Linked DNA regions of Drosophila melanogaster. The protein of the gene in region 1 interacts with the protein of each later gene in a biochemical or structural test. Each region holds a gene or a part of one and is shown on either strand. Other genes may lie near its edges. The genes, in order: nudE and sw.

Region 1 (5,245 bases):
AGCAGAAACTTAATTAATGCGAACAGTAACATTAAAGTAACGTAACGTAAACGTAAAGCCAACTGAACAGTATCCCGCCCTAGGTGATTGGGTTTCGGATTTGGGGTTTGTGGATCACGCTGAACTGCAGAATCCACACTACTCGGCATCCAGCGAGAAGCAAGGCAGTCCGGCCAGCGCCGGATGTGTGGATTGCTGGGAGGAGCGGTGTCGCTGCGGCATTGGCTGACCATTCTCGCGGTACGTCTTCAGTTTCGTCTCCATCGCCTAAAAAAAAAACACAAAACGAGAGCGGATTAAGCAACAGTCAGTGAACTATATGAAAAATTAACTATAGAAGGATTTGGGCACATCATATAATAAATAAATTAATGAAAATTTCATTTCGCAACGGTTTGCCCAGTGCAGAGTTTAGTCAGCAAGCCAAGTTATTATGCGCTTTCGAAACTGAATAAATCATAACGAACAAAAACAAAGAACATAAAATAAGGTACAAATAAATTTTGTATTTATTAACCAATGCAATTAATAAATGCAAGCGGAGGGCAACTAAAATTAGCCTTAAAGTTCCGAGCGCATTGTCAGAGCGGCAGGCTGGCGTCCGGCGAGTTTCGCATGCGCTCGGCGAAGCGCCTAAAAATGTTTGAGCCCGCACTGAGGCTTCCGGCGGAGCTGCAATCGCTGGTGGGCGTGGACTGGGCGCTACTGGTGGCCACTGAGCTGCTGCTGCCGCCAAAGGCGCGGCGAAAAAGACTTGCCTCGCTGGCCGATGGCGGCGGCGGCGGCTGCACACTTGCCGGGCGCTCACACATGCAGCGAAACTTTTCGCACTCGGGACATAGCAGTGCCTTGTCCCACTAAAAACATAGGGAAAAACACATAAGCCGATGGTGGGAGTGAAGGGTTCAAGGATCATATGTACATACGAAACAATGGATGAGGTAGGATGGCATGCTGGACTTATAGTTTGCGGAGGGACTTACGTTTAGTTTTCTTAACATGTCGGCCACAATGTTGAGCGCCGTTGTGCGGGAGCTGGGGTTCATGGAATTGCCATTGATTTGATTCTCGGGATCTGCAAGAGGAAGCACACGTACACAGCATGTTAGTCGAGAGGTTAGTTAGGTCAACTACTAGCTACAGACGCAAACACAAATCGTACAAAAATCGCCTACAAGAAATGTTGCAAACTCTTTCGTCACATTTGGGCTCTTAATTTTAATAATTTACAATACAATTACAAATTATGAGGAACTTAAGCGGGCTACATTTTTTGGTTAACAAGTAAAAAAGAAACAAATGGAAAAACAATACTAAATGCATGGCTTGAACGTTTGGCGATTCGTCTTGGACAGTTTTAGCGCGCGTCTGGTTTTCTTTAGGGAACTTAGTATCTTACTCTTAAGCGAATGCTGCTGGTTATATTCGTTTCTATTAACTAAACTGCCATTGAGGGCGTTGACGCTGACGCTGGTGGCTCTTGTGGCGACAGCATTGTCGTGTTTTACCAATTCGCCATTGGCAACAATACCATTTGGCAGCGAGGCGGACGAGTTCATCGAGCTGTTGACCGTATTTGTGTCGTTTGCCGTGGGAACGCTCGTTCCATTGACCACTGGGGTAAAGCGTGACTTGACGTTCAGCTCTTGTTTGAGATCTGCAATAGATTTGATGAATTAGTTTTAAAGTCTGTGCTGGACATCTGGTATAGATGCATCCACCTCTCGTCTCATCCATTAATCGCTGTAGTTTTTCCTGCAGCAATCCCTTTTCATCCACTTCCAGCTCCAGAAGGGCGTTCTTCTCGTAGGCCTGATCCAGCATCTTCTCGAAATTCTCTATGCTTTCGTTAAGTATGCGATGGGCACGTTCCAAATCGTCGTTTTTCTGCTCCAGCTGCCGCAGGTACACCTTCATGGTGTCGCGATCCTTCTTCACCGTTTCCAGCTGTTTCTCCATGTTTGACATATCGATGCCATGCGATTCCAACTTGAGCTGAGAATGAAATAGTTGTAAAGACTAATCTTGTCGGGAGCTCAAAGCCACATATACGCAAACTGAGTCTAAGAATTAAGCTCAGTTTGTGTAAATCGGGCTTAGCTTATAGCTACCTTGAGAGACTCGTTTTCCCGCTCAAACATTGTGAGTTTGGCTGTGAGATCTTTGATTATACTCTGCTTCTGGTCCAGAGTGGCGTCCATTTCTATTTCCATTTCGCGGGACTGCTCCACAAACTCGTCGTACTCCTGTTTCACGTCTGTCCACCTGAAAATTAAAAGTAAAACTAGGCTATATGGCTGATTTCGGAGACTGTAATAGGGATGGGCACTTACTCTTTGTGGTACTGCTTAGATCGTTCCTTCCAATATCTGCACTCATCTTCCACACTATTGAACATCGGGGGCGACTCCATTTCTGCAAATTTTCCTTAGCTGCTAACTCCTTTTTCTGGTTTTTGTGTACTAATCGGCGGTCAAAATGGGTTTGTAATTTCGTTCGTTCGAATTGATTTAACTTTTAATTTCTGAACAATGCTATGTACTACGGTTGGTCTATTACTGTTTGGGTTATTTATTCGTGTTTTTTGGCTGCTTTGTTTTTAATTGCTGTGATTAAAATGCCAAAACACAGTTGTTGTTCAAGTCGTAGTTTTACTTTTTTTTTGTTTTGTGTGTTGGGGGTGGTGAATAGACTAGAAGTCGGCGAAGAAAAGTGAAAAATCAATTAGGAACAGGTGTTTGCCCTGAATTTTGTAGTTACTGTTGCTGTTGTTCTTGTTCGATGCCCTAAAAGGGCAGTCGGTTTTGTCCATATCAAATGTAAATAAAATCAAATTAAACAAAACTCATTTTTGTGACGCAGCTGCTGCGGCAACAACAACGAAAACAACGAGGATGATGGTGATGAGCAGCAGCAACAACAACAACAACAAATAGCTACGACGAAGTTTCCCATACAACAACGCACTGCATGGAAATGAAATCATCGGTGATTTTTTCGTAGAATTCCAGTGTTTATACCTAGAATTTTATACAGCACGACTGTCCACATTTACTACTTACACTTTGCACTTAATTTTGCTACGTTTTGTTTGTTTTATTTACATAAAATCAGTGTAAATAGTTATGCTCGTAAAAATTTACCACTACTCCAAAAACGCACAAGCCAACCCTGGCTTGGGTTGCCAGTGTTGGCCAATAGATGGGCATTTGCCGTTTCCAGCCCTGGTCAACAGTTGTTATTTGAAATTTAATCAACATATAAAGTTTTACTCGGCTTTTTTTTGCGTTTACGTAGTTTTCTTATATATTCCAAATCATATTTCTCTAATGGACGTGCTGTGAACGTTATCGATTTGTTGGCCGGCGCATCGTTGCTGGTATCGTCCGAAATATGAAACTCAGAGTCGGAACTATCTTCAATTATTTGAGCTGAGCTTAGTGTTAAATCACGAGTGGAGCTGGGAGTTTGTGGCAGTGCTGCAACATTTTCGCCAACTACGCGCATGGGCAGCGCATGATAATGATATGATACATTTCGACAGGATTTGCGGCGTAGTTTGTGTTTTCTGCTTGTTTCAAAGTCACTTGAACTTGTGGACGTGTTATCGTCCCCACTATTTGAGCCTTCCCCGCTTACAGAATCCTTATTGTCAATTTTATTGGAGTTTTTCGTGATTTTAGACATATTTGTTTTAAGCCGCGCTGGATTGTTTTGGTTCCAAAAATGAACAATTTTTCGCTGATCTGTTTCTGGTTCTTTACCAAGTACAACGATGTGGCAACTCCCTGGCAGGGCCGCAACTGAAAAATCTCAAACGGGACATCGTTGCCAGATAGCTAGCCAGAGTGTGGCCAGATCGCAGCGACTGCAGTGCATTTTCAACAAAAATAAGGTAAAATATAGCACAATTATGGCCAGCAATTGTTAAACAATTAACGCAATTGCCAGTATTATAACCAAATGTCAACTGTGTGAGTGCGACAATCGAGCTCGCGTGGGCGTTGCACATGCAGCATCATCGAATTGATTAATTGCGGCGCATGCCGAAAAGTGAAAAAAGGGAGGATGTGTTTCAATCAACGCGAGTGAAAACCGCGACGAACGAAGAAAAAAAAAACCAAACTACTGCGGCAATCGTGAACAAAGAGCTCGTTGCGTCCGAAATTATGTGGCACAGCAACTAAACTATTGGATTTCCCACTCATTTTCCAGTTGAAATCAACGCGTTGCAGCAGCCCCCGCAGCAACAGCAACAACAAAACAAAGGCAACTGGAAGTGCAGCCTAACGGGAATTGCTCCAGCATATAGAGATTATAGTCCACACATATAAATATCCATTTATCGGAAGATAGTCCACAATGGCGGATCCAGAGCGACAAAGCCTGATCAACAAGGACGACGGCAATGGCTACAATTCCGTGGACGCCGTGGACGAGGGTGCCGATAATCCCGGCAGCAACTCATCGGTGGCCACAAACGAGGACGGTGCGTATCGTTACTGTAAAGCCGGGCATTCAACCCGCATCCAATCAGCCGGGCGGGCAACCCATTGGAAGCCCAACAAGTGTGCGGGCGCTCCACTTATCCGGATCCAACGCCGTGATTCCGAGTTGTCTGCTCGCCGTCTCATTTGGCATTTTCACACTTCACCCAACTGAGTCATAAATGCGTGTGGTTTGGTGCGGGGGGAGAGCAATGGGACTGCACAGAAAGAAAAACTGATAGGATATGTGGTGCCCAAATGCCATTTTAAATTATCTGCCATTTTTTTATTTTTTAATAGGGCCCAGTATTATTGGTATTACCAAAAATTTACAACCTAATATAAAATTTTCTTATTGGCCTAAATATCAAATGGGCCACGTACACCATAAAAAAAATGTAATTTTATCACGAAATTGTGAAGAGCTGCCAAAAATGTAAAGATCGATTGTAGTTAGTTACTCGACGCCGGTATCGGCAAAATTTTTGCACCGCCTTTGTTATTGTTTATGCTAGGACGCTCGTAATCAGCGCAAAAAGCGTTCCCCACAGCTGTTTAATCAGCATCGATTCGGAGGTGTTGCTATAGTGGTGGTTAAGCGGGGGCAGTCAATGAGTCCATGAGTCATCATGTCATTCGCTGCCTTATCGCAATACAGGGCGAAAATGAGGGTCTGCGATGAGCAGTGGTTCCATTGTTTACCAAGGAACCTGATCTTCAGCTCGGAAAAAGCTTGTCCATATCATTAATATATACAA
Region 2 (4,898 bases), on another chromosome or scaffold:
ATGTCATATAAATCATATAAAATGTAATAAATATATGTATATAGTCCCAATTGGGATGCAAATCAAAGGACCAAATCGGAAACAAAGATCGAAGAAGCAACTACGAGAAGCTAGGACATAGGGCATATATATATTCTAGGATAGGATTACCATATCAAGCGTACACTAAGCAAGTCAGAAAAACTCTAAGGAGCATAGATCGTGTTGTGGATAGATATTGAGCAAACTACACAAATACATAATGTGAGTATATAGAGAAGTTCAGCATAGAGAGGTTTCAAGGTAATGGTAATATATAGGACTACGGGTATAGATACGCTTCTTACGAGTGGCACACAGACCGCTACGGAGGCTGAAAAGTTCTAAGTACGGAATTACGCATACAACGAGGACTACTCACCATAATAATCCGTAGCATGAGCTGCAGTTTTTTTTTCGTGCGTGCCAAAAACAGTTAAGAGGGAAGAAAGAGAAAGTAAATAGACAAATTATTAAATGCGCTCGAACGGTTTACACTCTAATGATCTATGGGTTCGGATGTGGACATGGATGGATGTGGATGGAAAGATTGATGCTGGACAGCGGTGGCCATGCGGAAATGAGTCGAGACTGCGGCGTTAATGAAGCGAAACAAGGCCAATTGGTGTAATGCTTAGTGCTACCAATAACCTTTACAAAAACGCGACAAAAATTAAAGTAATAATTATAAAAAGGCGTGTTTAAAGAGGGGATAAACATGACACATTGCGTTGCAGTACCATTTACAACCTATATTTTTAAAAGTTCGGATTGAAGTGTTCAGATAGTGTGCTGAATATTGCATAGTATACAAAATAGTGACGAATGGTTTTTGAAATCGTGTCTGAGCTTTTCCAGTTTCGAACATTTATAAAATAAACTAACAAAAACAATTGCTGGGATAGATGGGCTAAATTGAGAGCACTGAAGGAACCAAAAACCAATAATGCGGATTGACCAAATCAAGAGAAATCTGTCATAAGATGATCAATCGACCAGAAACTACGTTTCTTGGGCATTGCAACCAAATTGGGCCGAGGCAAAGCAAAAGGAAGCTGTCTAAATTCAAGCAGTTAAGTAGATAGTCCACCGAATTGTCTACGCATGTACGATGCTGACATCCTTCTGCCTGCAGAGCCTTACAGCAAATTTAGACTAAGTCGTGTGGGCGCTTCACATGGAGCTCTTCGTGTATTCACATGTGTATGCCGCTTCGTTTTGTCACAATAACTTTCGTGTGCTGATGTGTGATTAGGTGTGGAGTTTGCTTAAAATTAAGATTAGTACCTTTACGTGGACGCCACCAGTCCTCCATATATCCTGACAGAGGCGAGGAGTGGCAAGAAAGAACTGTATTTGTTATTTTATTTCACTATGGATTATGGTTTCTGTTTGCATCTTTGTTTTTTTTCTCTGCTGGGAGGGACGGGAGTTGGGGGCACTTGATGGGGAACAAAGCGCGGAAACAGGGTCAGCATGCAGCGGTGTAAGCTAGCACCAGACAGAAAGGGAGAGTTTGGAGCACAGACATGGACAGAGAGAGTGAGAGGGACAGATAGATACACTGCTCCTCCGGCGGACGGTGACGGAGTCTGGGAAACAGCAGGGAAGCCAAACACATTTAACAACGAGACCAAGAATAAGAACGGTAACAGTAGCGAGAGATGGAGTCAAACTATGGATAGTGGTTACGGTAGAGCCCAACCAGATCCCCGCCCCGGGGGCAATACGCACCATCGCCGTTTCCGCCTCCGGTACTGGTCGTCTGGGTCTGCTTTGTGTAGACCAGTGTCTCTTTTGGTGGAATGTTCGTAGCCTGCACATTGTAGACGCTTAGGTTGAGGGGCTGTTTCTTTCCGCCGCTGGTGGGGGGTGCACATAAGAAATTGGTATTAGTTAGGAATCGGTTAAATGGCAATAGCAATAGTACAATACATTGATCGTTAAAACTTAATCAGTACTAAGCCCATTGTCTAATCTGTGTAATACTAATTTTTAAAACGGCTAATGCTAAAATTGAATTGTAAAAATTGCCACGCTCTCTAACCAGGATTCCAATTTTGACTACTGATATTTTTTTATGTTAAGCTTGTAGATGGGGAATCTGTCTCTACAGTTGTTTAGCAAAAAAAACTTAGGGAATCAAATGTCTATACCTATATGACCTGAATATGTCTAATATGCCCTGCGAACTTCTGCTTAAGATGGTAATTCTACTCACAAAGCTTTTGCTATGAACTGGCTTACCTCTGGCCATTGACAGTGGCTTGGAGGCTGGCGTCGGGGGTCTGTGTGTTCGAGTTGTCCGAAGTCATCGAGTTGACGGAGGAGAGTGAGGAAAGGACCTCGGAGACGGGGGCCACGCCCAGCGATGACAGCATTTCGTCGAGATCCCTGAAAGAGGCGAACGAAAGTTGGATGATGGCGGTGCTGAGTCAGCTCTGAGGAGAAGCTTATGGCAAACCCACTTGCGCTGATCCTTGTCGATGCCTGCTCCGCCGCCAATGCGACCGGCCGCCTCCTCCATGTCCTTGATCTCCTTCTCGCGACGCCGGCGATCCTTCTCCTCGCGCAGGGCGGCCAACTTGGCCTTCTTGCGTTCCAGCTCAGCCTTGCGATCCATTTCTCGGGGCGATTAGCTGCTGCGATTTGCTGTTCGAGTGGGCGTTCGGTACGGGACTCTAGATCTCTGGCGGGCCAAGTTCTCTGCAAGGGGGATGCATGATTAATGGTCGCCAATATTGGTAGCTTTGATGATGTCACCAACTGCTGGCCAGAAGCAAAGAAAGTGGGTGCGCTGTGTGGTTCTCCACCGCTCGCTTGGCGTGGCGCAGCCAACTCATATGTTCTCCTATCGCCAAGTGGAGCACATTTCCCGGTAACCCAGTGAGTGGCCGTCACTTTACTTTCCTTTGCTCGGCCAAAAAAAAAAAATCAATAATCCAGCGATTGGACTGTGACGTCTTTTCGCCCTGGCTGCGTTTTTCAACTTCCTTCTCTCACTGCTCTTGTGATTTTTCCATGAAATGCACAAAAACCCACCTCTTGACTGTCTTTACTCGTTGTTCGGCTGCTTTTTAAGTACTTAAATCATCATTTTTCAACAATGTAAAAATGCGACTGACTTTTAATGTTTTGACTAACTAGAGATGGAACATCGCCCACGGCCAGTTACTTCGCACAGTTATTGGCACACGAAGGAGATAATGGGCGCGGCTGGTTTACATAGATGCCCAAAGGGTGTGGAAGACTAGGATTCTTAGCGGGATTCCGAATTCTTAATTAACACAAGTTTAAACACAAGAATAAGATTTTACTACTGTACGGCGATAGCTGTGAACAGCTGTCGTGACAGCGATAGTTCCAGTCTTTCCATGCACTAGCGCAGCGATCTGGCAGCACTACTGCGTTTAGCAGAACGCTGTTAGTTACAGTTACATTTCACATACACTGCAACACACTTTATATTTATTAATATTTATATTTATTTATGGAAGAAATCTACAAATCATGCTTAAATAGAGCTTCAAACTGAATATATATATATATATATATATATATATATTATATTATATATTATTAATTATTAATTATTAATTATTAATATTAATTATAAATATATTAGATTAATATATAATTATATTACCATAATTAATAATAGGTAAAAAGTATGTTAATACAGAGATATGCCGCATTTTAAAATTGTTATGTTATAGGTGGCTTACAGTTATCATAAAAAAGTTTTGCACACTCACACACATGCACTATGAAATATCAGTGTTGCTTTCTGAAGCGTAACTTTTAATTTATAGATTCAAGAGAGGTATCTGTAGGTAAATTCGAATTGATACACAGTACCTTAATGATAATACACTGATGTCCCATATGCATACAAAATTAAATAATCCTTTTAGGTCTAAAATTCAGCTAAAATTAATGCCCACAACCTGTGCATTTGTTTGATTAAAATGCTGAGTGTGAAGTACTACAAAATGTAAAAATTAATTAATTAAGAAAGGTAAGCAAGACTATTCTTGTAAAAAATTACCAATACCGCTGAAATTCCCATAGTGACTCAAAACTACTGAGCTTACAAAATACGTTCAGGGTTCTGAAAGTATGTACATACATACGTATGTACATATGTATGTAGATATGTCGTGTTTTAATTGCCCCTCCAAAGTGCCAATTACATTCAATGCGCGTCTTTGGGCCAGTGAAATCACCAGAACCCGCCGTGGAAATAGAAAGCGCACTTAGGCGATGTGTCTTTCCACAATGTATGCCATAATTTGTGCCACCAATGCCAGATGTTGCTGCAACGCGGGGCGCAAAGCGAATCCAACAGTAGTACGTGCCTTCGGTCGTATCTGAATGTATCCGAAAGTATCTGAAAGTATCTGAAAGATACCGTATCCAAAGTGCCAAGGAAGAGGTTTTCATGGGGTTAAAGCGCCCATGAAACTTTTGGGGATTTTATTTCGATTCGATTTGGCGCATCTGCACATCTGCACATCTGAATTTAAATGCCAGCATTCGACGACCCAAAAACTGTAGTCCGAGTTGCTCGTTTCGTAACCGCATTGATAAACCGGACTCGAACTGGAATCGCTCCGATGATCCCCCATGCTGCAGTAAAAACCTTGAATTGCCAAATCTTCGACTGCTCAACTTTTTGCTCCAGGCCGACAAATCTTGCACATGGGCGGGAGTTGGCAAACCGATGAGCGGATACTTAATATCTTCGCTTTTTCCCCGCGCTAATTGCCAGGCCAAACCTGTCGCACCGAAGTCGAGATGCCAGCGCGATTAGTTTACAAATTAATTTGCCAATTGAATTTCAGATTTAGACGTCTGGCCGGGCTTCCAAGAACCACCTC

Evidence for each region.
Region 2: the proteins of nudE (region 1) and sw form a complex in vitro, tested with the Drosophila melanogaster proteins (one study listed by BioGRID).

Annotation. Positions count from the first base shown.
Region 1 is NT_037436.4:9,897,173-9,902,417, reverse strand, and holds nudE (nudE), read right to left. Parts: upstream 3,178-5,245; 5' UTR 3,063-3,177; exon of another isoform or gene 3,031-3,062; intron 2,693-3,030; 5' UTR 2,414-2,692; coding exon 2,334-2,413; intron 2,266-2,333; coding exon 2,112-2,265; intron 1,996-2,111; coding exon 1,722-1,995; intron 1,658-1,721; coding exon 1,400-1,657; coding exon of another isoform or gene 1,314-1,399; exon of another isoform or gene 1,221-1,313; intron 1,076-1,220; coding exon 984-1,075; intron 858-983; coding exon 582-857; 3' UTR 506-581; downstream 1-505. Other genes in the region: CG46387 (uncharacterized protein), read right to left, coding at 3,250-3,687; CG6707 (uncharacterized protein), read left to right, coding at 4,363-4,489. UniProt on the Drosophila melanogaster protein: Chaperone protein with functions in nuclear localization. Required for centrosome duplication and formation and function of the mitotic spindle.
Region 2 is NC_004354.4:20,233,023-20,237,920, forward strand, and holds the start of sw (short wing), read right to left. Parts: upstream 3,177-4,898; 5' UTR 3,061-3,176; intron 2,929-3,060; exon of another isoform or gene 2,782-2,928; intron 2,725-2,781; 5' UTR 2,642-2,724; coding exon 2,487-2,641; intron 2,413-2,486; coding exon 2,266-2,412; intron 1,881-2,265; coding exon 1,753-1,880; intron 1,369-1,752; coding exon 1,306-1,368; intron 422-1,305; coding exon 401-421; intron 1-400. UniProt on the Drosophila melanogaster protein: Acts as one of several non-catalytic accessory components of the cytoplasmic dynein 1 complex that are thought to be involved in linking dynein to cargos and to adapter proteins that regulate dynein function.